Neodiprion lecontei: one gene and its partner. The protein of the gene in region 1 purifies or fractionates together with the protein of each later gene. This does not show direct contact. Links are inferred from orthologs where the notes say so. Each region holds a gene or a part of one and is shown on either strand. Other genes may lie near its edges.

Region 1 (14,910 bases):
AGCTGGTCTACCTTGTCCATGCAGCGCCCTTCCCTCTGTTCATCACCCTATAAACGCCGCTGTTAAGCCAAATTTACGAAGGCAACGGGACTCGTAATGCGGTACTCTATAAACGCGAAATTATCTGTTTAGCTCGAGTTCCGGTTCGGTGTACTTGGCCTCACGCATAAACTAGCGTCGTAATTTGACCGACTAAAATTCACTCCGTTCTCCTAATTTTCCATTTCAGGCAAACTACGTCCGGAAAGAGCGGACTTGTTTCGTCACGTTTTTTCATGCCTACCATCGACTTGTCCTGCAGCGAGGCTATCGGGACTATTGGCACCGTTCTCGCCGGCGCTGTCACTGTCAGAGGAGGAAACCACGGAGCTCCGGAACAAACGGCCAGGACTCCTGGAGCTTCTGTTGCACCTTTTGCGCCGTCACCAGCTACAGGGTTCATCCGGGCTCCGAGAACGGAGAGCAGCTGCTCCGAGTGAGGCACCAGGTTTCCGAATATCAACTGGAAGACCAAGATGCTCAATGGTGATTTCGTACCAGATTTTTAACTCAACGCTAATTGCGTTTGTACCGAATCTGTTCATCGCGCGTGTAAAGGCTTTGCAAATTTTCCATTGTGTCTATGTACCCGGTTCACGGGGCAATGGAGATATATAATTCAGGTTCATGCCTTGGGATCCAGATAGGAGTGCCGGTTTCCCTTTCAAACTTATCCATCCGAGATGGTTGATTAATTAATTATGAGCTTTGAATGCGTCTGACACGGCGTAAATGATGCAAAAAAAAATATTGGCATTTTTAATTTTTAAAGTAAACAAAAGTCCAAAACGCGAGTAATGTAATTTTCGATGAATTGGATGGAAAAATTTTATCGCAATAAATTACCTGCGTCCTCTGAGCGCTCTTCTTTACGTTCGCGTGTATGAACGGATAAAATACGTCCAAATCGAAGGGATCGATCTTCGACTGAATGTCGTCGCATATTTGAGACGACTTGTCTACAAATTTTTTATTCTCTCGAGGAATCATTAACAGTGTGACGTATTTCGTGTCCAGCAACGTTTGCAGGGCTTGTTTCTGCTTCAAGTCGTCATTCTTCGATAACTCCGCGTAATATTCAAACAATTCCGTCACTACCGTGTCCACTATTTCGTGTAGTATTTTCCTGGAATTAGGCGAGTGTAATGAACCCATATTTTTCTTTCCAAATTCATCCACAAGTCTTGTCGACTCTTTTCAAAATGTTTACGTTATATTCATTTGATCCCGCAAGTCTGTTTCGGACAGATACATTTACCACCCGGCGTCTACAGTAACGCGGGTCCGAAAAAAATCGGAAGCTGACATTGGGACGAAATATCTAACGATCAAAAATCTCTTCAGCATAGCCCGAACTGAATCTTACCCTTCGTATAATCCAATTCTACTATTCATCCGGTGAACCAATTTTTATCAACGTATTCACAAAATTTTCCGTTCAAAAAGTTGAATTTTCAATATGAAAGTTGATGGAGTACGAATTACGCTTACGTAAATATTCTTTGATATTATACTGTGGTTTTTCGTACAATATTTACGTTATTAAATACCTCTGCGGTATAAAACCAGCTCATTTCAAATTTCATCAAAATTTGAGATTATCCGCAGATCGTATTACGCTGATAAAATTGAATACCTAATATCCTTATTATACATTGATTAGTAGAAAGTCAGTTGATCGAAATAGTCAAGCTCTTATTAAAAATTGAACCGATATTTCATACGAAGTTAAAAAATTTTCAATCACAATGCAACCAAAATTAATAGAGATAAGAAATAGCTTGCAAGCGTGCAAAAGTACTCACTTTGGCAACGTGTGAGGAATTATCGAATTCAAGTCTTTGCTAACAGCGGCCAGGAACTTCTGCACGGATATGGAAGGTTGGTAGGGTACCAAAATTTCAGACTTCATTCTTTTCCCTTCCTCGGCCTCCTCCTCGATCGTGACTTTCTCCCAGTCGCAAATCATTGTTTGCATTTTCAAAACGTTGAGAGACCTTGGCATAATTCCTTCCTTGTGATCGTGAATTTTCCGTTTGAAAATCTTGGCCCAAACTGTCCAAGCGGCGAGGCTGTCATCCCTCAAAGTATCGCAAATCGACTGCCACTTCGTGTTCGGTATAACGATACCCGAGACTTTCGAAAGGGTGAAACACTTGTTCAAGCTCGGGCAGAGTATAGTCAGTGCTTGGAAAAACCTCGCAGTCAGAATCGCGTTCACCTCCCGCTTTCCCACCTTCGCATCTTCGACGAGGCATTCATCCCTGATAAACTGTGACAATTCGTGTACCTTCTGCGTGCTTATTACTTGGAGTTGTTCCTGCACGATTTCGCGGTCTACGAACTTATTCAGAGTGCTCGAGATTTTAACAGCCAGGAGATCGGTCGTCGTCGTTGTCGACTTTTGACTTTGGTAAAGATAAAGGTGAAGATCCTGCAGCAGGTTGAGCAAATTTCTGTCAAAACTCTCGCAAAGTTTAGCCAAATTCGGAGAAAAGCCCCGCGTCTTCATCAGCAAAAGCCGATCGTTGTCGGCCCCGTTCCTGTTCAATTTTTGCGGTATGTCTGATGGGGAATCTTTCCAAATGTACCACCTCAGATCGTGCTCGGGATACTCGCATTTATCGTGGGCCACCTTGTTCAGGGTGTCGAAGAGGTCGGTCTTCAAATTGAACAGAGTTTCGTCCCACTTGATGCTCACGATTCCCTTTACACGCTCGGTCAGCAACAGCTGAAAGTAATCCCCCCAGAAATTTACCGTCTTTTCCAAAGATAATTTCTTGCACATGATTTCCCAATTCTGAGGAACTTCCAGGGCGAGAACCTCTTCTCTGATATTGTGTATCCCTTTGACCGACGTCACTAGATCAAGCAGTTTTGAGACCTCACGTTTTACAAAACCCTCCACCCAGCTGAGCCAGTTTGTCAAATTATTTTTTAACTCCGCTTCCGGAATTGGTTCAATCTCGCCCCGAGTTGACGGTTTGTGGCTCTTTGCGAATGGTGACAAGAATTTATCTGTCAAATCCCTGTCTACCTTTAGCAGGGACAAAGTTGTTGGCGCGTTTGAACCAGCTACTTCCTCTACACATTGCAACACAAGGCCCTGTTCCTTGCCGTTCGTCTCTGAAATCACATGGTCAAGATTCGGAGAAATCGTGATTCCTCAGCATGAATATTTATGAATGAATAGTATGGGTAGAGATTGTGGGAATGAGGTTTCAGAGGAAACATGACAAAAAAAAAAAAGGTTTTTTTATATAGTACGTAGACATTCTTAGAAAGATACAACAACTGATGTTACCGAACTTGAAGAATGACGAAAAATACGTCAATTCCACAATCAGGTAATTTTTCTTACCCACAAAACAGGAATAAAGCAGATCGATCACGTGTGTCAGCATCTTAACGCTCAAGCTAATTCGATTCCTCACGCTAAGATGGCTCTCGTCTTTTATTACGGCCTCGACGGCTTGGCTTCGAAGAGTAATCAATTTCTTCAACAACTCTGTAGATGCCATGCCATCCAAAAGAACCAGTGAAGCTAAACAATTGGCTGCTGACTGTAAATCGACAGATAAGATCCATATATTTTTATTCTTCATACTCGAATTTACTTTATACGTAATAATAATATATCAAATTGTCGCGTACCTCAACTGGGAGTTCAAGCGACTGCAGAACCTTATTACACCCAGTTAAAATTACATTTCTAAAGTGGCTTATGACGCCCCACTGTTTGAGAATTATCGGATACTTGGTAGCCAGGTCCGAATTGCCAACTTCAATCCTTAGACTGTAATTGATGTGCTGAGCGAACAAAAACAGTTGTGTGGCCAGTAGAAAGTTCTCCGTATCTACCGCCGACCATATTTGCTCCGGTATGTCCATCAGAATTTTGATTTGCATTACTATCGAGTCGTAAGCTTCATTTGACTTATTGCTACAAACGTTTATTAACTCACAAATGTATTTGGCATTTGATTTATAATGAGGGTACAAGAATTCGGATATTGGTGTCAACCTAAGTATCCAAGAATGATTTTGCGCTATTGTTACCTTTCCAACATCTGTTCCGGTGGATCCATTTTAAACCCGATGAGGTATTTCTGTTGCAACTTATGACAAGTCTCCTCCATGTTGCAGATCCTTGCTATAACGCACTCGGAAGTCTGCTTCATCTCTGCTATCGTATCCGCAGCTTCTATCAAATCTCGATATCGTTCTCTGTCAAAAAAATACTGGTATTTTGTTCTCAATTTGTTTTTGAAAATGGATAAGTCTATTACCTAAATATTCACTGGCAGGACAAATCATTTTTGTCATAATGAATCGTTAAGTCATCAAAATGAGAATATTAAAAAGAAAAACAAACTGTCAGGAATAAGCTGATGGTATTTTTTATTCGTGGGGAAAATCGGTAAAATTTTATTTGCATATTTATATACAAAAATCAGCTTAAAACTACTACGATTACAAATTGACACTACGCTTCTTAACCTAAAAAATCTCACCCAACAAGCGTACGAAGCTCGACTTTCTTTCGTTCGCTTTCATTTTGAATTTTTTTCTGTATCTGTTCGACTTCCTTAATCGTATGACCCTCGAAAACTTTTTTTATATCCAGCTCCAAAAGATTAACAACTGGCATTTTAAATTTTAAATACCGAACCCTAATTTTTGATTTTGACACATCAACACAATCCCAGCTGATATCCGAAACCATAAGACATGCGTTCCAGAGACCAACGCACCTCGAATTGTTCCTGCACCAACTAACTGACATTAGGCATCCGTGCCTTCATAGCTTTGATCTCTGTTGTCGGTTTGTCAGTCAATTGTGTCGGTACTAGAGATCGCGTCCTGATCTGCTACACCGGGAGATACGGATAATGATCGCTTCGAAATAATACCACACATTGGAAATTCACGTCAACATCTCTCGGCTGGCTCAACCTCATCTTCATGCAAAATGAATCATCGCTAATAAAGTTTGAAATCTGCGGCGCCGTGAGGCATTATCTTAGTCAAAATGTAGCGCCAATAGCGCTTAGCGGGAGTCTGCCGAACCTTCGATACAACGAAGATTTACGCTGCGAGTCATGCATCTACGTTTTCTTCATTCTTCAGTGCGGCGCGTATTGTAGACACAAATATCTCAATGCTAGTGTGGCGTTCGGTCTGCAGTTGGAGCCAGTCGCCGTTTGTGGTTGTGTTCTGTGTTCAGTGTCAAGCCAACATGGCGGCCGCGTTGACCGTCGAGCAGGAACAAGTAAGTGAAATGCGAATTGTTATTTGTGGAACGAGAATCCATCGCCGAGCGATATTTCATTGAGAGCTATGAGACTTCTCGCCCCTTCCCCGCTTCCACACGTATTTTCAAACTGCTATTCAACGTGTATAAATAACACCGCGAGTACCGAATGTAAACATTTCAACACCTCTTCCGCACGTCCGCGAGTTCCGTCAGGTTTGCTTGACAGCGGGGACTAATTTTTATTCATTTTTTTTTTGTCGTGCGGTGTATAAATAGCCCCCGTGAAAAGTGGTGAAATCCGCAATTCCAATAGACTCGTTGCGTGTCTCTCTCTCGAGTTATTTATTATTTGTTTACGTTTACAAATTAAAATCCGTGCTCGAAACTTCCGGGTGCATCTCAAATTGTGTATTAGGTACGGTAAATTCAGAGACGAAGAGACGGTTTTCTGTACCCGATCGTCGGTCCGGATCTTTGCATTATTATACACTTGCGTATCTTGTTTTTATTTATATGCCCGTCTGCACGTCGCAACGTAAACGTTACATTCATTTGCCACGTGTAAACACACTCTACATATATAAGTCTATAATATTCTCATCTCCGTTTCTCACAATTCATATACTTAATAAATATTACGTACTCGAAGGGAAACGGATGAAAAAAAATTTTTTCAAACCGCGGAATACGTACGCCTTACTTTCAACCAGGCACGCCTCGAATCTTTAACGGATAAAAAAAAGCACAGGATCGAGCCAAAATCTAGAGCGTTTCAACGACGTAACTGCATTCCATTATACAAACTCCGGCTGTTTCATCTGATATCAGACGAGATCTCGATCAACCTTCAACTACTTTTCAAAGCATTAAATTCCACCGCACATTCCAGTTTTATTAGGGCATTCGAAATCCTTGATTGTGTCACGATTTTCGCTGAAGAAGAAGTCTGCAATCGAATCGGGGAAAGAGATAAACAGCAGTTTATTAATTTCTCAATATTCGTTCGATCACAAACTCTACTTTTACTTTCATGGTACCATTTCTGTATGATTTACCCCAGTTTAGAGGACACGCAACTGGTTGCCCCGTTTCAATTTAAACTTTTTCATTTCTATTTTATCAACTGAATACTTTTTTCTTTTTTTTTTTGTCATTAATTCTTATACAAAGTACGTGCATAACGTATACTCTTGAATCAACGCCACGTTTCATCCGGATATACTCTTGGCTTGACGTATTACTCACATCCGTATGAACGTGTTCGTGTAAAGGGTATAACCGTATTTAACACACACGCCTATTTGCACGTTTTTTAATTTACGGACGCAGTGTCAGGCGAATTTCTCGAAGCATTAATACTACGTCTACATCAGTCGTCGAATTCCGTTTTCGTTTTTTTCCATTATTTTTCGTTAACTTCGCGTGAGTATGGAGAAGTAAAATGAAATCTCATACTTTTCGTAAACATTACACGGATTAGAAATCAACCTTGAAACAAATGTAATCCGAGTTAGGGGATAGAATTAAAATAAAAAAAAAAAAAAAAAAAGGTAACGAATCGGCGTACATGTTTTTCGCTGACGTTACTCCTCACTTTGTCAGCGTTTCGCTTCGTACCCTTCGTGTCGCAATTACACACCTTATGTTTCACGGTAAGAGATCAGCGGGATCGAATATTTGGGCGAATTATGACTAATTGTTATTCCTCGGAAGAAAGAGAATCCTCTGTGAACAGAGCGACGGTGAAAAAATGAAATCATACTAATCATAGGTACCTCGAAATTGCGAATAAAGACTAAGTGGTTGGCTGGTTCCAGTGTGTGGACGGAACTAAATTCCCGATTCCCCGGAGGCTAATTCGAGCCGGTCAATTTTTTTATATCATAGAGAGTTTATCGTTGCTGTCGTTATTTATTTCAATGCTTTACCAAGAATTATGGAGGAGGAGAAGGTATATTCGTACCGATCTTTGTAATTACCGCATTTCTTATCCCCGTTTGAATTATCTTTGCCGTATTATAATTAAGTCTTGATGAGAATGAAATGATATATAATTTGTATCGTATGTTTTATTCAGAACGAGAGGACGATCAAAAAATTTCTAGATAAACGTATGTCAGTGAGATGACTATTTCGAACGAGTGACCGATGTACAAACTTGGGCAATAATATATTATACGTAAACGGTAATACATTTATGTATTTTTTAATTCCCTTCCGCTACAGAAATATATAATAACAATTCGGTTATCGTTTAACGTTTCAAGTTAATCATACCTCAGATTTCAATTTCATTTAGTTGAGTTAAGAGGCCTTTGTTATCGTCAAGGAAAAAACTTCCTTCCATTTCGTCGAATTGATATCACGGTGTATACTTCGAAATGAGGAACAGTTCGAAAGAGTTATTCGTAAACAGCAATAATTTTTCTACATCATTTTTATTCAAGTCGTATAAATATCCATTATCATAATACCTTTGATGAAAAATTGTCCCACCTCTACTTTGTAACAATCATCCGACGAGTTACAAAAGTTATTAAATAAAAACAGATATCAACTTATGCGGACGAAGTCCGCGTGTTAAGAATAATCGCGATCCACGATACATTTTGTCGCGAGTCGAACGAGCAAACCTTTCTCGTCTCTTCCTTCTTGCTTCAATGAGTTGAATTGTGAATACATTGAAAATACCGGTTCGTAAATATTGTGCAAGGTTTGGCCGCCGCAGCGAGACATGCATGCGCCTCTTGATTAACGAATGCAGCGAGGGCATTGTGCCCTGAACAAGTCTGCTGATATAGCGGTGGCCAATCACCGACGTAGATCAAGATTCGATGACAAAAATGAAAACATCCTTTCGATTAAACCGAGTCTTGTCTTATCGCGTTTTACACACGCGTGTGTCTCTGTGCGTACATATATAGATACACGTGTGTGTACGTACGCATAGTCATGCATGCAGCGAAAGTGTTGTGGCAGCTTGTATGACGATAATATGAAATTTGTTGCGGATGTTATTTAATTATAATACACAATCTCTCTTTATGTATTATACCGAGGTTCGCATGCAGCTAGTTAGCTAGCTCTCAGGGATTCGGTATAATATATGCGCACGTGTATTTTACAGCCATTCATTCGTTCATTCGTTCGTCTAATTTAAGGTCACTCGGGGATCTTGTATCATCACGAAAATAAGCAATTATCACGCAAGTCGTATAATAGCTGTTGTACTTTCGCGCAGGTATAAAGAACAATGAAGAAAAAAAGAAAGAAAGAAAAAATAACCGCACACGTCACGAGATATAATATCGTTATTACAATTATTGTAATGCAAAACGAAAGGAACTTAAAATTCATCTTATCGTCATAATTTCGCTACCGAATTTATTAGTATTGTGATTTACAGTTAAACTTTTAACGAATTTAAAATTGCGTGGTAACAATTTCATAATTTTTTTTAACGAGTTATAAACTTTCCCCGCAACGTTTAGCGGAAGGAATTGAAACGGTATCCGAAACGTTGACCCTTCCCTTGGTTGATCGAATTATCGTACAATGGCTTCGCGCACCGTTTCGGAGAAATTAATCAACCGTATAACGCAAGCACCGTAGGTTACGGGTTACGTATACGTACCTTAATTCGTAGGACACTCAAATGCCGCGGGATCGAGATCCGAGCAATTCTCACCCGCCTCGCTCCTCGCAGCTATTACTTAATGAAGTCTGATTACGAAGAATAAACCGGACATTGTCTACTGGATACAGGAAATGAATACAGACGTGCCTCCGGCGTCACGCGAGCTTACTTACACATGTGACGAACGCATACAACGCATATCTATATGCAGGCGTCGATGGCGTCGTACTCACTTATACATATATATTATATATATATATACATATACAATCGATCTTGAAGAGTCAGTGCGTCTTAAATTTTTTACAAATTACAAACACGCGGATTCGATCACGTTGCTATATTATTCAACTATGTATTACGTATATCAATTATTTAAGCTTCGTGGAACTCAAATTAGAGGTTCGCACAGATCTGTCGAAATTCAATCCCTTTTTTTTTTATTATTTTTTTATTCATCACCTATCGTAGTCGAACGTTGAGAATGTACCAAATTTAGATTTTTTTTTAGATAAAGAGAAATGAAATTAAAAAAATAAACGAGAAACACAAGTACTAACATTGTAAACAAGGGCTCGGATTTGAGAAAACTATTGTTCGCAAATTCACCGATTTAATACCGCTGGTTTCTAATCGAAATCAATATTAATTAGTCCAATCTTGCGAAATTGAGTATTTAACGATATCGAGGTGTAAAGAAAAGTGTCCCAGTGGCGTTGTAGAGAATACTTTTTTTTTGAAAACAGACCACCGTGGAGTTAAATCGAAGAAATCTGTGCTAGATTTTTAACTATTTTGAAGGGATTTTATTTTAAGTAAAATATCGACGTTATATCTATACTCCAGTTTAAAACATTAATTTTTTTTCTCGCATTTTCGGAATAATATTCATTCAGCTTGCGAACGTGTGAATGATGTAAACGAGAAAGTGTCTATTCTTGACTCATCAATCTCCTACCGAATCGAGATATTATATCGTGTTTAGACTGTGATTTTGAAAAGTTGAATCAAGGTTAATGGAAATCATATTATTTAAAAATAGAAGAAGAGTGCACACCTGCACATTGCAAATAAATTGCAAGCACCTATAAAGTCTTCGTTTGAAAAAGATTATACCACTTGACTTGCACAACGCAACATTCAAGTCGCTTGAATCATCTATTTCAACGCGTACAGTAAATATAAGTTAACTACTTTTTATCCGATAGATAATATCTCGCGAGTGGGTTGCAGAACAGCTGCATGGAGTTCGGAATGTCGGTTATTCGGATTTCCCCCGTGGAATAGCAATTCGCCCTTTACAACTGGATGCGAAAACATATCATGCTTATTGCGTGAGCCAGTTTTTCGCAGAATAGAAAAATGACGAATCCCACGCATCGTCCCCTACAGACGATGGTGGTAATTTCAACGATCCGCCCGTTAATTACATTGTTCGTACATGACACACTAACTATATAAGTATAAGTAATGTTCGTAGGATTTGTTTCCAAGCGTATTGGTAAGCTTTTAACCTATCTCATAAGACGCGTCAGGTGAAAAGAATTCGATGCAGGCAATATTCGAAGAATAGAAATGTGAAATGCCGGCACCTCGTGTTGCCGATGCCGAGTCGAACCGACCTTGTATGTTTATTCAGTCAATCGCATCTCGGTTTGCTGAGAATGATGAGTCATATTATTGCAAAAATAAAAAATACACCTTGTTCACTTCCTCGTTCAACATTATAATTTGAGGCTTAGATAATCGAAGAATAACAATAATAACCTGGAGGAGTTATAATAATGATAATTCACGAGTACAAGTATAGGTATATAATTATTTTGCAACGTTTGTTTATATTAATGAAGGGAATTCGGACGCGCTCACAAATATCCCGATAGTTGAACAAACCGAGATCGATTTTGTTGTCACTCCTGCAGTTTTACTTAAAAGACGTCATAGTTCATCTTTCAATATACGCGTAATTTTCAGTAAATCTTAAAATTTGTCTAAATTTTCTCGAATCAAAAATGATGTAATTTTTTTCCGAACATTTTTTCTTGTTTTCTTTTAATTTGATGGTTTTACAGTGTAGTCAATAAATTTATGGACAAGCTTGAAATAAAAATTGGAAATCATATCGAATTTATTAATTCTTCAACATTTATTATATTGTATATTACTGTATTGGACGCGACAAAGAAAGTAACCTTATTCCGACATGACTAATGCTTCCGGAAAGCTGCACTTGTCGTATAAAGTAGTATTCAGAAATCAGCTTGCATGGAAACCGGAAAAAATGGTAGGAAGTAGAATTGTTAACTAATAATCTAACCTTGGAATTACGCATAAACTGAAGTGACGTTACACAACGCAATTATTGCAAACAATATTTTTTCCTACGTTGAAATCAATCGTGAAATCAGTTTCCGTTGCAAAAATAAACATTCCGACGCGCAGAAAGGAAAAACCGAGTCGCCTTCTAATTATGATTAATATTGCGAATGCCTGATCCGTAAGCGAGATAATTTTAGCGACCTTTCCATGTTACCTAAGAATAGTTGAGACGAAAAATGAGCAACTTGGTATTGAATTTTATGGAAGATTGACTGCGGGCGATGAATTGCGTATAATATATTTATATATATATTAAATATACGTAAGATTTTAATTTAGGCAAATTACGTTCATTGTCAGCCACTTTGAATTCGCGTTGGAATTATTTTTTGCGGACTCGCAGACGCCTTATTTGGTATATTTTTCAGCTAATAATACCGGGCGTGAAACTCCTCATTTTGCATTAACGAGGACGACAAGTGCACGTCAATTGAGACTTATTGATCTGTGCAGCGCACCCTGACATTGATCCCCTTCCTGCTGAAGTGGTTTGATTACTGCTCGCTCGTGACAGACCGCGGGTACGTTATACTATACCTATATGTATATCTACTCAAGGTGTACGGTATAGATATATGATAACCCTCGTAATATGCTGATTTTTATACAATGGTCTAGACGCCGCGAGATTCTCTCCGTTTGGGGGCGAGGTTGAAACTCCGAATTTGAAAAATTTCGAGAGCGCCATATTCGGATTTTCTTTTTTTTGGTGGCGAAACTTGAAGTAAAGAAATCAAGCTGATCGAAACATCAAAGTTTCGAATGGTCCGAAACCCGACGCTTAAATTAGTTGCGAAAGTGCAAAATGCCGAAAGGACCAAATACTGAAACGGCGCAACTCCGACAAGTCAAATTTTCGAAAGTGCGAAAATGAGAAAATTTAAAAATCTGAAACATCGAAATTCCGAACGATCGTAGATTTTCAGTTCTGTGAATTTCTGACTTGGTGAAATTTCACCACTTTGATCGTTCTTTGCTTTGGATTTTCGATATATTTTTACGTTCCTGGTCATTCTGATTTTTCATTCTTCTGATTTTTCATATACGCTCGTTGAGTAAACTGTGAGTATAATTTACTTTTTGGAACTTTGCTCTATCGTAACGTGAATTTTTGGAATCCGGGATTTCGGAACTTTGAGCCGTCGGGTTTCCGATCATTCGAAACTTTGTTGTTTCGTAAAAGTTTGATTTCTTTTCTTCGGGACTGGTTTGGAACTTCTCGAATTCGGAACTTCAACCTCGCCCCTTCGTCTGATGTAGGCTTCCGTACTCGTATCGATTAATTTACTACTAAATTTAATACCAGCTCTGATCAAGCCACTGTATCACTGATTTTCAATCATACGTATTTCACTGTTCGTCGTTTTCTTCCTAATACCAATTATTTATCACACTATCCAAAAATATTTTACTGTCTAGATTCATCGTTATTCCGTAAGCTGCGAAAGCAAATAGGTACTTATCTTTGTTCCTAATATCGCAATGATTAATGTTATGAACAAAAAATGAAATAAATACTGAGGATACATGTGGCGATAAAAGAAAATTTTTAGATAAAATTTCCTATTTGAACTTCCTCTGTAGTCGAGAAATTTTTCTCGATACGTTAAACAAATATCGTTAATTTATATGGAAAATGCGATTCCTGAGCTGACGTGGATTAATAATCCCGTTGATGGAAATATCACTTACGATTCATATTGATATTTTCGTCTGATATTTGCAGTTATTCTATAATAAGCAATTTTATCGAATTAAAATCACTCCCCGTGTTAAAATGTTTTAGTCACCTTGTGCAATCCGAAGATGAGCGGAAGGTATAGCAAATTCCTGTTCTGTAATCGGTTCATTTGAGTAAATTCACCTGAACCGATAATCCGTCGGTGCGGTACAAGTTGTACTGCACTACGTGCATGCGGTATGTATATAATACTGCATCAAGTGCAGAACTTTGCTTGATCCAATTTCTGAAGTATATTATATATCACATGCAAGTATAAATCCTTCCGAGGATTAGCGGCCATTGGCGGAAGTAATACAATATTCACACGTCGAATCGTTTTATTCATCCTAAGTACGTTGAGAAGTAAGTATTATAAATCATCCTCGTAAGCAGCTGTTTAAGTGTTCACAGTAAATTACTTTCCATCCATGCTCGGTTATTATACCCCACTGTAGCTGAAAATAAAAAAAAAGCACCAGCGGTTTTTACCACACGCGTGACGATCTCTGACAAAGGTGATAATTACATGGTAGCCGCGCTATTTCTCGGTGTAATTCGCCTCAGAACCGCGAAGTGTTATTTTATTTTCTATGTAGGCACAGGTATTATGTGTAATTGTAATTGCCCACAGGGGTTTAAGTCTGTTGATTTCTTTGCTAGAAACTATCAGTGACATCCGGTCCTATAAGTTACACAGCAATAATAACATTTTCGCTCGTCCCCGCCATCCGATGTTTACTTCATAACTATATATACAAATGGTTCTGCTGCTGAAAGTTTATATCGTTGAACGTACGCACAGTTTTGTCACAAAATAATTTCGGATTGAAAGCGTGAAGTAACTCTTTTTTTCAATTATGTATAAAAATTTCTCGAAATTTCACCTATATAATAATTTGATTATGAATATATGTATATTTATAGATCGGTTCTGAGCTCGAAAATTTGCACGCTCATCCAATATGCAGTAATAGTCGCAGGAAATGGAAAAAATATAAAAAAAACTCGGTAATCTGTGATAAAATTCGTTTGATATTTAGCAAAAAAATTTGCATATACGATCATTTGTAAAACCGTCAAATTCGTCGTTGATACTCGAATTTTGTGCGCATGTACCCAAAGTTCCGATCCATCAAGCACGATCGGTAATTAATAATTTCATTTCTGAATTTTGATGATAAATTTCTTCCAATTTCGGCAAGCGAGTGAAACTTCCTAATTATCCATTTGCGAGTACAACATGGCAAGATTATAGCTAAATATTGCACCGATTCGCAATGACGATATTCGCTATTCAGGAAGACTTTTCAACTGAGTTTGATCTACCGAAACTTTAAGCAACCACCTAAATAGTAAAAAAGAAAAACAATCAACCCGCTACAGTGCAATTTAAAGACTCGTGCAAGTTGCATTATCATTTTTATTAATCGGTAGCAATAAATTCTGCGTCGAAAAGAGACACGAGCGGCATGTTCATGCATTTACGCATGCCTTTATACTATATGTGCATATTCAATTGTTGATAATTGATCAAATTCACTCCGGTTAATTAAGTTATACCCGGCACTCGGTCTGTCGAGGCAACGACTGGGGTTCGGTGCACGGTGCATAAGATCTAGCTAGACGGTGCAACGCTTTTGATGTGCAATCAGCGGAACGCCGCGATGATGGCTAACGCGTTAGCCTATAGCCGAGGTAATCTTCTATCGCATCTACGTGGGTTGGGCAGGAACTCGAAGGTAGGTTGGTAGGTAGGTTTACAATACGGAAACGGTACGCGTCATGAGACGTGATCATTCACGGTGGCGCTATATTGCGAACTATTGCACGTGTACTGCAACCTAGTTGGTGATTCGCGTGTAATCGGAAGGCCAA
Region 2 (17,971 bases), on another chromosome or scaffold:
TTTAGTTGTACCTCTGCAACTAGAATTCGTGCACAAAAATGTATTACGCATACATACATAACACAGACTAATAATACTGAGGAAAGAGACATTGGACCTATATATATATACAATATGTACACATAGTTGATTCATCAATCACTTGTCATTTTGTTCTTCACTGCACAGAATCTAGTATTAAGTCTCTGAGTTCTTAGGTCAATGTAAAATCACAATCCCCCAATGGCAATTATTTCTATTACCATTGTTTCATCACTCGTTAAATAAAAAAACATACGATTATGTTCGGAGGCTAAATCCTTGCAATTTAATACATCAATATTTTAAAGTTTCCAAATCATCGTCAGAGCGTCTTTAAAATGGGCGATGATTCCTAAAGCAATTACCTTTAGTTAGATCTAGCATTGTTTTTATGAAAACGTTCTGGTTTAACAACATATAGTTAACTCATGCATATATCCGCTGAGTTATAACTCTTGAGAGACAAATTATGTCCATGAGATTGTCACTATGTAGGAATAAAAGCAGTACTTATAATAGAAAACAGAGATTTGTTTACCGGGCTTTCACAAAAGAAAATACAACCTGCTATTCTAGCTAGCTTCCTTGTTATAACAAAGAATGTATCTCTACTAAAAAATATTGTAAATATAGTCTTTCATTCCAATTATTCTTATATTTTCAGTTGTCTCAAGGTCATTCTTGTGAAGCTATAAAACGAATACATATGTACAAAATGGATATTCATCTTCGATCAGGACACAGGCAAAAAAAACTTGACACCACCGATAATCAGAAACAGTTTTTAAATAATTTAGAAGATCAATTTTCATGCACTAGGAGTTCACCAAGGCGACAAAATGGGTTTGATCAGCAGCTGTTCAAGACAGATGGTGTGTCGTCAATTTTTCTTTGTAATACATGATTTGTGCTACTGTTAATCTGACAGTAAAACTGTGTTGAAGTTTGATAAATGGAAGACTTATTGAATTTATATTACCATAGAAACTCCAGTTGCTGTACCAGTCAATGGACCTCCAACTCCGCATCGGATCAATATGACAAGAACAGATTCTGAAGATTCTGAAAAACCAAATGCTGGTGATAATACAAATACGAGCAAGATATTTTATCGAGAGTCTCCCAGTACTGTGCTGGACAATGTACAAAATCCTGCCAAAAAGTCATTGAAAAAAGGTCGTAGAAAACTCAATCCAAACAACACCGATGGACAAGGATTACTAAAAATGACTGCGAATAGAACCAATCACAAATTAACAGACTATTTCCCAGTTCGTAGAAGTGTTCGTAAATGTAAAAGAACTGTGTTAGAAGAACAACAGAGGGACATGGAAAATAAGGTTCTATGTCAGGTGCAGGATGGGCTGAAAATACAAGAGTTCATTGGTAAGGGCAGAGGAATTGTTACAACGAGAGAATTTCGGAAAGGTGACTTTGTGGTAGAATATATCGGTGACCTGATTGATCAAAATATGGCTAAAAAACGAGAAGCTGAATATGCTCGAGATCACAGTACAGGATGTTACATGTACTACTTCAAGCACCGTAACCAACAGTATTGGTAAGTATATAATATCGTCATTCTGATTATTAACAAAGTGAGTTGGTTGTAGGAAAGACCCAAAAGACCATTTGCATTTAATTTTTGAGGTTTTCTTCTCTATACTAAAAAAGTTTCTATTTTCATACTAATAACAATAATAATAATTCCTCCCTACACTCGCCGTACCCAATAGAGTATGTCCCCAGAAGCCACATTGTGACTTGTGTAGGGCAAGGCAGGGGATGGATCGGTAACCATTATTGTGCGGCTGCAGCCAACTTAAGATGTTCGGTAGAAATACCCGCATTCGCACAAGGGATAAGGAAAACTGCCGAAATCCTTGTGCGAGTGTAGCCGCACCGAGTTCAAACCCCAACTTGCCTATTCGGCGTCTGAACGGAGTCACCCAACTTACATTTTTTGCGAGTTACAGCTCAGGTCTTGCTTGACAAACTAGAGATTTGAACTCGAGTCCTCCCATTATACAGTTTCACATGCTATGTGCTATGCTACTATGATCTATCATCAAACGGTGACGTTTTTTTTTACAAGTATGAAACTAACGAACATATTATTTTCTGTTTACAGTGTGGATGCAACACCAGAATCAGATAAGTTAGGCAGATTAGTAAATCATTCTCGTAATGGTAATCTGATTGCACGTGTGATAGAAGTTGGATCTATACCACATTTAGTCCTTACGGCTAAAGATGACGTACCACGTGGTGTTGAAGTGACTTATGACTATGGAGACCGTAGTCGAGAATCTATCCGTAATCATCCATGGTTAGCATTGTAACGAGAAGTAGGATCATTCTTACATCTCCGGTAATTAGTCATAATTAGATAAAATAATTTTTAACCAGTGCACATATTTGCAGTCCCTCGAGTTGCTAGTTACAATAATGCAAGTGCACCTAAATTATGTAAAAATGTTTACAGAGACTGAGATTACGATAAATTTAACACTGGTTTTGTACTAACTAATATCTTGGTAATTGCCCATGTAATCAATAAATGAAAAATTTATTCAACTCTGTAAAATTGCTAGAAATTTACAAATTTAATGTGATGGTAAACATCACATGAGAATGGCAGGCACAGATTATCGCTGTGTACTGCAATATTAGGGACCTCCTGCATATGGTGGAAAAACTTCCTTCAGGAGCCAACGATACCCGTTGCGTTTAACAATATACATTACGCGCTTTTGAGTGATGTTCGAACGCGAAATTCTTGAATATGAAATTGTATCTGTCAAATATGTGATTAAAAAAATTACTTCTTCGGTAAAAAAGTTTGATGAAAAATAAAATTTTATATCCAACGAACTCTGAAATAAAAAAATTACAAGTGCATATAACAACGGTGATTTTAACTTTATGCCTACGTTCAAATCTCCTCCTCAATATCATAAAAAACAAACTTTTCTCAATAACGTGAATCTGAAATCGTCAGATGCCATTTCACGTCAAACATTTTTACCAAAGAATTAACTCTTCTTTTTAATTTAAACCTGTTCGTTTCCAAGAATATTTCCCTCGAACATCGTTTATCCGCGTATAAATGTATTGCAAAGAGAAACTGATCAGATTGACTCTTAATATTATTACCTATTTTACACTCATTTAATCAGTTTTAATGTATATTTATTGGTTTGGTACCGTTAAAGATATTATTTTTGTATAGGTTTATGTTTCGAAACAGACAATTAGTATCATTCAGTGATTTATGATTGTAGTATTTAATTAACCTTTTCAATGCAATGATTCTCACATTCTTAATAAATATTAATGAATAAATTAGCTCTTCTATATATCTACAATAAGGATTTTTAAACGATACTTAGTGATATTCACATTTCTTTTCATCATCTCGAGAAACTTCTACATTTTTTAAATCTCTCGCAATCGAAATTCTATGTAAAACAATGGTCCTTACTACATATTTTTGCAAAGTACAAAATAGAGCTGATGAACTGCACTGGATTGCAAATAAGTAGTAAATGAAAGAGAAAACAAATAGTAATTCGAATAGAAATTATCAATGGGTATAGCATAATAAATACCCCAGTTCAATGAATAATAAAAAAATGACATACTATTTATATAAAATTGCAAAAATGTGAAACACCATTATAATTATAGCCGATTTAAGTATTATATGCGTTATACGAAAATCCTGTGGAAGCAGTTGAAAAAGTTGAATAAATAATGTTTCTTTCAAAATACTATGCCAATTGTGTAGGAATAAGAATGCTAGTTTAAAATCGTATCACCATACAGGAGCAAACAAAACTGTTCTTTGATAAAAAATTTCAAGGCGCTTAGCGTCCAACGACAACTGGTTTTGATTAATTAAAAAATGAGCACAGTGCGGGAATAAAATCCAATTCCGATCGTAGTGTGATGAACTAAAGTTATTTAAACATATTTATTATTCAGTTACGATTATCCTAAGTGGCTTGGGCTATTACAGACTTGGGCTATGTTGAAATTCTTATTACAAATTGAAATATATACAGTTATAAAGTTATGGCGAGAACTGCACAAGCCTAGAAGTTCGGATGGGAGGTAAAAGATAGTAAACGTTAATGTAAATCATCGTAGTGTTTAAAAAAGTTTGAAGAATTTGGATAAATAGTTACAACTATCTTATCACAGATTTGATGAATAACTAACTATTATTTAAGCGATCCCGTTGAAGATTAAAAATCAAACGTTTGTTATTTAAATTCTAACTCAATAGCTACATAACTGCCTGTTGTATTTAAATTGTACAAACTAATGAATAGCCGTGCTTCGTTTATCCTTATTTATCTTTGATCAAGTAAAATATCTCACTCTCAAATGGGTGGACTAAAATATAGTAATGACTTAGATGTTATACAAATACGTCGGCTCTGCCTGCCTTATTAATATTTTAGTAACATATATTGTCTAGTATTCACATAAAGTTAACGTTAGTAGATAATTTATGTTAATAATTAGCCTGTATAGTATTCAGTTGACTATATACTTGTGTATATTCATTTATAATGTAGTCACTTACTTCCGGAATATTTCTGGTAAATAGTGTAATACTATCAATGTGAATATTAATGACATTGTCAATAATCATCCCTGAAAAATTTTATTTTAATTCTTTTTAAGCATGTTTCTACTTTTTCTGAGGTGATCAAACTAGCAAATGGTCCTAGATTGATTTAAATTTGGCTTCATAACAATGTAAAATATACTTTTTTCTACCCAACAGACAACTTGTACATTTGATATAGTTTTGATACAAAATTGAATTGTTATACGTATTTAGTTGTGCCAATGATCAGTATAATTTCACAAAGAAATTTACTATTTTTGGTGTTACCGAGCCTATTAAGAGAATGTTATAATTTTGTTGGTATCTCGTAATATTTTAAGAGTTTCAATGACCCTGATAAAAACAAGTAATTACTTCTGACAGTTGGATTTTGTTCCGCAGTTTGAACTTTCCCTGCCAGCTTTTTTCTCTTAATTCATCAATTCAACATGTCTACAACTAAAATCTCTGATCATTTAATTACCTCTACGACTGAATTGAAACAAAATATCATAGATAACTTTTTAGTGAATGCATATATAGGTATACATATTTTTTATTATACGCTTTATGTTATTACAAAGATGTCATGAATAAAAATATAATTGTGCACATGAACATAATATTGAGATGATGTTTTTATTGAAAGATTCTAGGTGTGTAACAATTAGAGCTGGTCTAATTGCGCGATTTTCTTATCATGATATAAAAGTACTTGAAACGTTGAATTTCAATGAAACATTGCCAAATAATTTTCAATTCAAATTCTTCCAATATTCACAAGAGTAATGATAAAAAATTAAGGGATACCGAATTGACTAAACTTAGATAGGTCTGAGGCTATTTCGATTTTGATTTGTCAAATATAACTACAATAATCTCATCACTGACAGTTAAGATAATATATAGGATATTATCTTACTGACAGTGTGCACTGAAAGAAATCGTGATAGCAGAAAATAACGCCTGCCAATGGGAGAGGATAGAAATATTATGAATGAAACCCACGCACTTCTGTCTATCACACGCAAGCTCGAAACGAATGAAATATCGATTTGATAAACAAGAACCCCGAATGGCCAGAATTTCGCGGTTGAAAAAATACGAATTTCTGATTGGCTACAGAGGGTCATCCACCTGATTTTGACACTCGACATACAAATGTGACAAACGCATAATAATGATGTAGAGTAACGTTTCGCAAAATCACAATATAACGCTGCTTTCATCTGATACAAAGATAAGTGAGTACTTATTTTGTTATGCAACTATTGAACGGACAATTAACGTAATTGGAAATGCAAATAATTTGAGGTTGTGAAGCTCCTTTAGAATCGGGTGAAATTTTACCGACATAACCGAAATGGACAACACAGCGACAGCCGAGTGTCTCACCCTGGATTTTGGGCCGTTCGAAACGGTTCACCGTTGGCAACAAATGCCAGAATGTGATGAATTTGTTGGAGCCAGGTGCGATAAATTTTCGTCAATCCATTTCATGCATTATAGGTTATGTCAGTTTATGTCAAGTTATAACATCGCTCTTCACCGTTTGCTTTCCTATTTTAATCCAGCAATTGAACCGCTTACTGATGCATTAGAGATAATGTTTCAATTCACACATGCTATACTTCATGACTTTGATGGAGCAGATACACCTACAAAAAATTTGTTTCAATATATTAAGATTCTGAATAAAGTTAAATGAGATCCTCTGTAGAAGAGTATCAGTCAATCATTTGTGCAGCTTCTTATATTGATGTCAACTGTCCAAGTATTGTGCTAAAAGTTTGCCAGAAACAGGTGTTTCGTTACTTTATGAAAGTCATTTACAAAATTTGGATATCTTCATCAGATAACATAATAAAATATCCCCTTATAATGGTAAATAAGTCAACATCCATCTCTATTATTTTTTCTACACAGACGAAGTAAGCACACGGTAGTAGCATATAAAGATGCTATTTACGTATTTGGAGGAGATAACGGAAAGAAAATGTTGAATGATTTGCTACGGTTTGACGTTAAAGAAAAATCTTGGGGTAGGGCGTTCTCCACTGGGATTCCGCCAGCACCAAGATATCACCACTCAGCCGTAGTTTATGACGTTTCTATGTTCGTTTTTGGTGGATACACTGGAGACATTCATTCAAATTCTAATTTAACCAACAAGAATGATTTATTTGAGTATAAATTCAAGACTGGTCAATGGATTGAGTGGCGGTTTATTGGAAAGTAAGTTGATTGTGACCTTTATCAACATTCCTACAACGATGATAAAAATATGGAGCTTTCCATAATAATTATGGTACCTGCTCCTCTCATTATTTGAATCTATTGAAATCATAAACAAATTGCAGAGTATTCGAAGAGCAGAAAGTTTATGTCCAAGCATCTAGTTGTGATATGAAGTAATTGGCCAGAGCAAGACTGTTCATGTCTAATAAATATATATATGTGAATATATATATGTCTGCACCTGGCATTGGAATATTATTGCTAAACTACGAACTATGTATAATACTTATTTTCATAGTATCTCTTTCAAATCTGTAGAACACCTGTACCCAGATCAGCCCATGGTGCTGCAGTGTATGATAATAAGCTTTGGATATTCGCTGGGTACGATGGGAATGCTAGATTAAATGATATGTGGACCATATCGCTGCTTGTAAGTCAATTACATTCACACTAAATTATAATTAATAGATAGTAAATTTTTTTATGTAAAAGTAAGAGTTGATTAAATAAAAGCATTGTGGTTTATAGCCAGGAGATATGAGAGTTTGGGAAGAAGTTGCGCAATCTGGAGATTGTCCACCAACGTGTTGCAATTTCCCTGTAGCTGTTGCTCGTGAATCTATGTTCGTTTTCAGTGGTCAGAGTGGAGCCAAAATTACAAACAGCTTGTTTCAGTTCCACTTCAAAGACAAAAGGTCGGTGAAATTGGCATACCAACATCAATAAAGTTTTTTAGTCAAACAAATATCCAAATTCATTATGCAAAAATGCAGACTTTCATTACAAGACTTTTGTAATTAAGAAGCACTCGGATTTTTTGACATAATGCGTGACATGAATTATGTTCAATAGGTGGACTCGAATATCCACAGAGCATATATTGAGAGGTGCTCCACCTCCTCCAGCTCGCCGTTATGGTCACACAATGGTCAGTTTTGACAGGCATCTCTATGTCTTTGGTGGAACGGCAGATTCAACCCTACCCAATGATTTGCATTGTTACGACCTGGATACACAGACATGGAGTGTAATTTTATCATCGGCAGACAGCCAAGTACCATCTGGACGATTATTTCATGCTGCAGCAGTAATTGGGGAAGCTATGTTTATATTTGGAGGCACTGTAGATAACAATGTGAGATCTGGTGAGATGTACAGGTTTCAATTTTCTTCTTATCCTAAATGTACTCTGCACGATGATTTTGGAAGATTGCTCAGCAGTCAACAGTTCTGCGACGTCCAATTTATTGTTGGAGAAAGCGAAGAGAAAATACCAGCACATATTGCTATGGTAGCCGCACGATCTCAGTGGTTAAGAGCTAGAATTAAACAAGCCCAAGATCAGAGAGAAAAGCATCTTGAAAAAATTTTAGGCATTACCGATCTACCGCTCAAAGATTTACCGTTGCTAGAAGTCAAATTGAAGGATGCTGTGCCGGAAGCCTTTGAAATGGTGTTGAACTACATATACACTGATCGAATAGATCCTACCAAAAAAATAGAAGATCCGTTGAGCAACAGAATCGTACTTCTAATGATGGACGTTTATCGACTAGCTGTTCAATTTCACATGAAAAGATTGGAACAACTTTGTGTTCAATATCTTGAAGCTACTATCAGTCATGCAAACGTTCTTGAAGCACTTCATAATGCAGCACTTTTAAAGTTGTATTTTATTAAAGAATTCTGCTTGAGTTTTGTTGTCAAGGACAGTAACTACAATCAAATAGTGATGAGCCAGGAATTTGAAACATTGGATCAACCCTTAATGGTAGAAATCATAAGAAGAAGGCAAATGCCGCAAGCTAAAAACTTTCTAAAGTCATACGAATCGACAGGTACTTTATTTAATATTGCCAAATTTTGGTGTTTAAAGGAATCTTTTAGTGAATACTTTGGAATAAAGACAATAACAATAACAAAGTGTGTCTTATTTAGAGCATAGATTCATTACTTATTGCTTGACGCTTTTACATTTTGTATGGTGATAATTTTATTTTTCTTGAATAGAATTTGCACACATTCATGTGTTGGGAACAACTCTAGAGCAGGATATGGAGGTCTTTTTAAAGAGTGCGAGCACCGAATTTTGTGATATTATGCTGATGTTGCATGGGACACCCATACCAGCACACAAGGCTATCCTTGCCGCTAGATGCAGTTATTTCGAAGGCATGTTCCGATCTTTTATGCCTGAAGACAACATAGTGAACGTAAGTATATTACTAGGCCCTCTTATTATTGATTGTAGTACTTTACTTGTAACAAATACCATTTTCAGATCCAAATCGGAGAGATGATTCCTTCAAAAGAATCATTCGATTCCCTGCTCAGGTATATTTATTACGCAGATGTCTTAATGCCTCCTGAGGACTCTCTGTACCTATTCACTGCACCAGTATTTTACGGCTTTACAAATAATCGCCTGCAAGCCTTTTGCAAGCAAAATCTTGAAATGAATGTTACGTTTGAAAACGTTATACAAATTCTTGAAGCTGCAGATAGAATGCAGGCTATTGACATGAAAAAATATGCTCTCAATCTGATCGTCCATCATTTTAGTAAGGTATAGAACAACATTTCTTGAAAGAAAAGTTTAATGCATAATATGTGGAGCATACTTATGTAAATTGAGTCACCTTGATTCCTGAATGTCAAACTTTGTTGTGATACTTAACTTTTTTACACTCTGTGGAAAAAAATCCATACATACGTGCACTCGTGCTTCACCTAAATCAATGAGACCTTATTATAAATAAATTGCTTTTTTTTATGTAGGTGCAATACTGTTGAACAATTGAGTTGAGGAAAAATGTTGATTGGGATCGTTTTCCAAGTACTCGTTAAAATTTAGAAAAATAATCCATCAGTTCTAATCCAATTTTTGACCACAAAATATTTACCATTTTTGGTTTCCATTGACTGTGGAAGCGATATTTGAGCATCACATAAATGGTGTACCTAATTTGTAGGTGGCACGATTGCCAAAATTGAAGCAGTTGAGTCGAGAACTTTTACTGGATATTATAGAGGCATTGGCGGATGAAAAGAGTGAGGCTCGAATGTGTCAGGACATGTCCAGTGCTAGTCTTTCCAGTGACTGCTGACAGACTTCCAGTCAGGTATGGAGAGCTCCCATGCCCTCCAGTTTTCAGGTTTGTATTTACAAGAGAATAAATGAGTTATTAAGTTAAATGGGTAAATATTATATATAAATAAAATGGAAAACAAATGGTGAAAAATGTTTTAATTTTTAGGAGTTATTTCGAGTGAATTTCATCTTGATAACACGCATGATACTGTTCATTGGGAACTACTACTTTGATTTAAAGATGTGTCCGCAATATAGACAAGGCTACAGGCGATGTAACCATAAGAAGAAGCGACATCATCGATTTAAAATTCACTGACAGTTGGCATGACTTTTATTACGACTGCTAGCGTGTCTCAAGAAAAAAGATGACACCAGCAGCTTCAACTATTGAATTTTTTTCACATGAATGGATTATTACGTGATAAGTTTTTGAAATCTCGTCACCAATTTAGTCATACTCAATTTATAGTATAGTAATAGCAGACAGCTAATTGTTAGTAATATACTTGTTGCCCTTGACAATGACCAGTAAAAGCATGTCTCAACGTTCTTGTATTGGCTTCAACAAATCAATAATCTGCTCAAATAACATGATAAGCATAAGTGTGATATTGGTCAGTTTGCAGCGTTCGCAGGATGAGTTCATTTACGAAAATTAAAAAATAAATTACCACAGTAAATTACGTTATTATTTATTGCAGTTAGTAGTGATTTCGAATAGTTTTTTACTTTTTCCAAATAAATCTAGTCACACTTAACCCGGTGGAAGAATTAGAATTAATGATGAAATGACACAAATCGTACAATACTTATGGTCATTTCTACGATAAAAAAAATATGAAGCACGTATCGTACTATGTTACAAGCTTTTGTATAATAAAGAGCTGTAATACGATTTGCTGGTAAATTCTAGTAAAAACAGAAATTAGTTTTACGAAATCTTAAGATATTAAGCACGCGAATTAGCACGAGTTATTGAAACATCTGCGCAAGAATTCAACATTCCACAACCGTAATAATAGAATATTTTGTTTATTAATTGTGAATTTAAGAAGATTCGGGTCCTATCACTATCAAAAGTAACTACCGTTTCAGGTTATCCTAATTTCTAAATTTCACGGTTATCCTCTCTCAAGTTACATGATATCGTAGTTATTAATTAGGTAGTTAATTACCTATATTTAGAAAATAATTTTGAATAACAGATGTAGTCCTTTAATGTTTTATCTTTACTATTCAGAAATTCTAATGTATTGTTACATTCATCAAGACATATTGAGCGAAAAAGCATTGTCTCCGTATAAATGATAGCATTGACAGGTTTTTTTAAGCATCACTGAAATCGTATACATAAGTTTGTATTCATTAAGCAAACCATAATTAGCGAAAATTGTATGGTTAAAAGTTTTTTCATTCACTTGAAGTGTTTGCGAACGTGTGTTATGTAAGAATTTGATACAGCTAATCTGCACCTTGATCTAACGTTGGTGTAATTAAATTTATTTGTATATATATTTTTAATCAATTTATGTATCATTGATTGTTTTCTATTTACGAGCATTCTTAGTAATGTATGATCATACTCAAATGACAGTGTTGAGTGTGGAAAGTTCAACTTATTCAATATTCAATATTGATATTGAATAGGTTTGATGCATTTGGGATGTCCAACAATTTTTGTTATTCCATTTGGTAAGAAATTTGATTATTCATCAACGCGATACGTAAACAAAAGTTTCACTGATAATGCTCAACGGTTTTTTTTTCTTTGTAGCCAGCACAGTTTAATGGTAACAATTTCTGTATTAAGTCATTCGTTTCACTGTACAATTGCTGTTGCCTGTGCAAAATTTATGTGTGACTATTGATAGAAAAGCACAAAACGAACAGAATCTCTGCATGTGCCAAATTATGTTAGAACCAATCTAATTTTAAAAAAGTGCAATATTTGAATAAAACAAAGCATTATATCTAACAATATTTATTTTAACGTAGCTTGGTTTTGAATAATAATATGCAAGCGTTCACACCATTTGATATGCAAACACTTGAAAAATATAATAATCTTGTTATATGTATATACTCTGTGGAACTGCCACAAAACTTGTTCGATATTAGAGATTCTCAAAAATAATAAAGAAAATATCATAAATAATTGTATGCTGTTAGCTCATTAGTAGTGCCTAGAGAAAATATGTTACAACAAGAAACTTTTGTGGGATTACTACTAAACTTACCACTTACCATCCCACACACGTATGTTCGAATATTTTTGACGTTCCTCAAGAGTAAACTCGTTGAGTTTCACGTGCATCTTCTCCTATGACTTTCAATGGATAACGGATTTCGGCTGGAATCCCTGACCACTTCAGATTGATGATACTGCATGTATAGTAAAGTTTTCTGAAAATTAGTTGTGATTACTAGTCGAATGAACGGATATTGTGCAAACATGGTATAAGACGATATTCACTGTTATATACTAAATTATATGGATACTAACAAATGATAGGTATATATCATTCGTAAAATACGTCTCTAGAACGTGATAGTGAAGTACATACAAATAGAAATACAGATATTTCTGAAGAATCGACTTTATTTATTGAAATATACAGTTTAAAAACGTAATGTAATCACACTTTTGTTCAAATTTTTTTTATAAACGATAAGGCTATCTCTTTTCATACTATTGTTCAGCTACAGTAAAATTACATTCTTACAAAATACTTATATATTTCATATTGTCACCTATTTATGAATAGGCATATTTCATACATAAGTATACCATTAATCAGTATGATTCACAATTTAAAAGCTGTAAACTTAGATCTCTGTATCCAGCTGGTAACTATCATATAGGCACGTTTTCATTTTCATTGTGATTGAAATTTGTTTATACACAAAGTATATACTTTTCTTGTATATAGCAAGTTTAAAATTGTTTTTCTTAGTTTAATTATTACCTATCAACAATGACTTATATAGCAATCACAGACATCCATTGTGCTGTATCAAGTTTATAAAATTTTGAGTGGATAATACTAATTTTGAGTTAATAAACATTCTATTTTGGGTAGTTTAAATACAAATAAAGTTCACAAAGTAATGTTTCCGTGCATACGCAATAAGTGTCTCAAGACTGAAGTGATGTCAAATAAATCTAGAAATCATGTCTTCACATGTTTTTGCCGCATTAAATTAATTTTTTGAATTTTGTCCATACCATTTATCCAACTTATACAAATTACATTTCTGTTGTTGAAATGATATTGACAAAATGATTGCATTGTAATCCATGTTTCAATTCAAATACCATCGTACTAGAATTCAGAGATTCAATGTTCAATTGAAATGGTAAAAATTCAAATGAAGCATAGTATCAAGAATTTTTTGTACTCTTCATGTAATTCCTATAAAACATTTCGTTTGCATTGGTGACCTGTAAGAAAGTGATGTACCTAACATAAATTTTTAAGTAGCTCATTAATGTGATTAATGCACAGATCAACATAAATAGAACCGACGGAACTCAGAACTTCAAATACTTCACACAGGTAATCGTTTTTCTATTTCTCCAGAATCTATAAAAAATTTAAAAAAAAATTATATATATTAGCAAAATTCAGTGCATGGTATCAAATTCATCGACATATCTTGACAAAAACATCGATAAACTTATAACAGATATTGCTTAAGTTTTACGTCAAAGTGTAATGCATCATTTAGGAAATATATGACTTATATGAGAATAGAAAAATATTGGAATGCAGTCAAATATACAGGCATATTTGAATGCACATGTATTTAAACATTTATTATACATCAGTTATGCGGAACGGAAATTATTCGGTTTGAAATTAAAATCCTACAGTAAATGAGCACAACAGATGTCGGTTTGCTATTCCACAGAAGACAATCATTTCATTCTCTCATAAATATAGATCTTTCAACAACTCTATATAATTATTGTAATTGTACATATTTACTCACTAATATTGGTCACAAAGCTCCTACTGAATTTTTACTACTACTAGCAAAGGCAAATTAGTGAATGTAGAAAATTTAGTAGCATGTACTGTATTTTAGTGTTAGCAACCAACCAACAAAAATAATGAAGTTAGACCAAGTGAAAATAAATTTTGTTCATTACAATGGGAAAAAAAATCTTCATCCTTTGTGCTAAATAAAGTTGTAACCAAATTAATATTGGTTGGTGGACACCAGAAATGGATTCATAAAAGTATTGTACACAGCATCATCTGATACTGTAATCCCTGCAATTTCTTCTTTTAATTCGCTAATAAGAAAAGATTTTGAATTACGAATAGTGTTGTACTTCATACAGTTTATCCTCGCTACAAGTTTTTCTACTCTTAAAATCACCGCTGGCTCACATAGACTATAAAGCACTCACTGAGAAATATTCGAAATAGAAATAAAACAGGCGTTACTGTAAATTAAATCAGTTTTCTTTTTTTTGAATGAAGAAAAAGGTAATTCAAGTTCGTTGATGAATGAAGAGAAAAAATGTCCGTTCAACCTGACGCAGTAACACTACTAAGCTCTGTGCACTAAATTTTGGCCGTTCCGTTCAAAATACTAATGCTTTGTTTACAAAAATAATGCATCAACACTTTGAAATGTCCATACAACATGAAAAATAAATGAAGTACGAAAAGTAGAACAGTAACTAAAGCACACATGCGTCATATACAGTTCTACTCTATTTATTCCATCAATTGGAACAAAATCATCGTTGTTTGTAACCGGACATTTCTTTTTTCAAATACAAAAGTAGTTTGAACAAAATCGATCTGTAGCCTCCTGACCACCATATTTATATGTTACCTATCAAGCTGTTCCTAAAATTATGATGCATCAAACACTAAATTGCCAAAAATGTAGTAAAACTAAAAGATATTTGCAAGTGAATTTTTTTTTCTTCTTTTGCTGGATTTGCGAAATAGATATTTAAAATGCAGTTATCAAAAAGAAGAGGAAGGAAATAGACAAGAAATCGAGAAAAATGACACATTTATTGTTATGTTATTTACTTTAAGCATTATTTAGGGATATTCGAATATTCGAAGTATTACTGTTGGTATGATTATGAAAATTTAATAATTTCATCATTGTGAAGTGATGGACTAATGTTATACGATAAAATGATAATTATTTCGGGAGAAAAAATGATCGAATATCCTCAGAAAAATATCTCAAAGATATAGACATCTTCAAGTACTCAAATGTTCAGAGCATATTTGCGAAGTATACTTCTTGAAATATGAAGATACAACTGTAGAAGAAAATTAGAAGTTCTGAACTAAAAGCATTATTATAGATGAAACGCAGGTAGGGCAAACATAATGATTGGATAATTTGTTAGTTAGTATAAATAATATTAGGGCAAGGTTAACTACCCGTCGTTTTCGATAATGAAAATTCATCAGGATTACTTTGAAAATAGCTTTCACTGTTAAATTGGAGTATACATAACTAAGCATAAAGAAATCGATTTTGCGCCATTTCTACTTTACACAATAAAACGCGATTTCGATTTTCTTATCGAATGTGCCTAAGAGTGAGAAATGATTGAATTGAATTAAACAAGGAATGCAAGTATAATAAATTGCGTTTCAATCGCATTTAAGGCAGATACACTGGCCTTAATTCAAATTTTCTCATAACTTTTGTTATTAATTATGTTACCTTTATTTACTGAGGCGTTTTATTCTAGACCGGGTCGATAGTGACCGGGCGCTGGGATTGTACGGTGATTTTACCCGTTTCGCTATACCTGAACTGCTTGGACTCGCTTGTGGCCCAGATGAAGATGATGTTTGCTTCAATTTACTGGGTAATGAAAGCCTGTTCGCTTTCACGATATCATATTGACTGGCCATTTGAGGCGGTACTGTATGACCCATGATATCAACATTCCTTGAGCGTAAAGTTTTAATAGGGGTTGCTGCGATCGTATCAGATCGTAACCATCTCTGCGGTGGTAAGTCAGGCGTACTTGTTATATTTACTCGTTCTCTCTGAACGGTGAAACTTCCTCTCAGCTGTATTCGATTTCCACCATTTATTGAAGGCCTCCTAATGGTTTTCACGGGTGTAGCCTTCTTCTCTAGGCTTCTTCTCTGGTTGGTCCTTGTATTTTCAGGTCCTTCTCCAGTAACCTCCCATTTATCCGGCCACGATAGTCGAGTGTGACTGTCTTTACCTTGATTTGCTGGGTCATTTTCGTCTATCGGCAGAATTCTCTGATCCTCGGAACGTGTTCGCCTCTTCAGATTAGGTTCCGAACTACAACTCTCATCAGCCTGTGCTAGTGTACTGTGTCTTCGTTTCGTACCAACAGCTGTGCCAGGTTTCAATTCATCGCAAGAACCGTTAAATGCATTTTGTCTAACCATATGGTGCAAATTATTTGATTCTTCTTTGGTTTTATGATCAGACATTCTGCTAGGTTTTGGCACTTGTCTATTCAGACTTTGTAAGTTATGATTATTTTGACTTCCCATGGATTTGTGATCAGGTATCCTTTTGGAATGGACAGGCTGATCGCTTTTCTCTAATTTTGTTGTAGACACGTCTTCCGATTTTGTTGAACCTTCTGTTCGTTGTACATTGTCAGAACAAACGCTTGATGATACTTCCGCAACTTGTATACTCTCTCTACTACGCAGTTCTCTTTGAGGACTTTCATGACATTGTTGCGAACATTTAGTCAAAGGCTTTGTAACATTGAGCGGTTGATTTTTCAAATTCGGATTATGCTGCTCTACTAAAGGTTTTGACACTGCAGGTAGCCTTTCTCTATGTAAAATATTAGCTACTTCTGTAATTTTTCTCATAGCATCCACAATATTATCCGATGAATCTGGTTGTTTAGACTCATTTTCACTTTCATCAGTCTTCGTGAAATTTGGTACTGGTGGTTGCGGTTGGGCGGCGTACAAATTAGGATTGGTTTCAGGTTTTGTGGAGTAATTTGGCTCGTACTCGACTTGTTCAGAAGTACTGGGAACTGGGGAAAGTATTACCCGTTGAGGAATTCCTTTTGGTGATATCGGGCGTTCTTTTTCTTTGCAGCTCTTCTGACCAAGCAAAACCTGAAAAGGATATGTAATATTAATTAGCATCAGTGTGGACTAGAGCTTACAATTCAGCATATGTTTTTGCTATATTTGTTCCTTTGCAATACAGTTGAAAATGCAACACAAGAAACTCGTCATTTTGTCACAGAATTCAGCTAACCTCAGTTCGTGATGGTCCAGGTGGATCCAGCATTAGAGTAACAACACTGGTGTTGTCTGCTCTAAGTCTTGTTGATGACCACCTTTCCAAGGCTCTATCTACCAGACTTTTGGATGGATTTATCCACATTTGTATATCTGTATGCTGCAATGGTAATTGTAATCAATGAAGCTTCATAATCTGACAATGAATGAAAAATTTCGAGGAAATGTCTAATGTTCTACATATTATTTTGAAAATATTCCATACTTGTGATATCTTCAGTCAATCTAATATTTTATTACATTGATATCTGTAGTGTAATAGACCCTAATTTTTAGTTCCTGTAATGTCGAAAGACTGGAAAATTTTCATGACACAGCCATTTATCAATAAACGCAACCTTAATAACATTTGGGTGAACATACCCCATTACCAGTTTGCTGAGAAGCAATAAGATGTTTTTCATTGTGTCTTTCGGCATTTTGGACAATTGATACAGCTAACTGTGGGGATAGCATGTTCCACAAGCCATCTGTTCCAAAGATAAGACAACGATGGGACTTCACATCCACTGCTACAACAGCTACATCAGGCTCAGGTGATACCACGAACTTATCAAGTTCAGAGTTGTAGCTCCAAAGATCACCTGCGTCGAACATTAAACATATGTCGCAAGCATCTGTTTAATATACTGTACTGAGTGATACAGAGCTGGTGAAATGCAACTTTTTGCAGCAAGGTGAAGA

What was found.
Region 2: the proteins of tyrosine-protein phosphatase non-receptor type 9 (region 1) and leucine-zipper-like transcriptional regulator 1 purify together in Homo sapiens (affinity purification with mass spectrometry; 3 studies listed by BioGRID and IntAct, with this or other methods). This does not show direct contact. The link is inferred for Neodiprion lecontei from reciprocal best matches to the Homo sapiens genes PTPN9 and LZTR1.

The regions. Positions count from the first base shown.
Region 1 is NC_060265.1:22,243,921-22,258,830, reverse strand, and holds the start of tyrosine-protein phosphatase non-receptor type 9, read left to right. Parts: upstream 1-5,196; 5' UTR 5,197-5,200; coding exon 5,201-5,311; intron 5,312-14,910. Other genes in the region: conserved oligomeric Golgi complex subunit 1, read right to left, coding at 284-502, 886-1,165, 1,845-3,165, 3,401-3,602, 3,694-3,982, 4,099-4,266, 4,554-4,825. UniProt on the Homo sapiens protein: Protein-tyrosine phosphatase that could participate in the transfer of hydrophobic ligands or in functions of the Golgi apparatus.
Region 2 is NC_060262.1:24,972,568-24,990,538, reverse strand, and holds leucine-zipper-like transcriptional regulator 1, read left to right. Parts: upstream 1-5,618; 5' UTR 5,619-5,886; intron 5,887-5,956; 5' UTR 5,957-6,005; coding exon 6,006-6,112; intron 6,113-6,568; coding exon 6,569-6,877; intron 6,878-7,198; coding exon 7,199-7,313; intron 7,314-7,411; coding exon 7,412-7,578; intron 7,579-7,735; coding exon 7,736-8,721; intron 8,722-8,893; coding exon 8,894-9,096; intron 9,097-9,164; coding exon 9,165-9,449; intron 9,450-9,855; coding exon 9,856-9,990; 3' UTR 9,991-10,038; intron 10,039-10,140; 3' UTR 10,141-12,129; downstream 12,130-17,971. Other genes in the region: histone-lysine N-methyltransferase PR-Set7, read left to right, coding at 728-893, 1,006-1,582, 2,153-2,363; uncharacterized protein LOC107217489, read right to left, coding at 15,692-17,098, 17,244-17,387, 17,651-17,871. UniProt on the Homo sapiens protein: Substrate-specific adapter of a BCR (BTB-CUL3-RBX1) E3 ubiquitin-protein ligase complex that mediates ubiquitination of Ras (K-Ras/KRAS, N-Ras/NRAS and H-Ras/HRAS).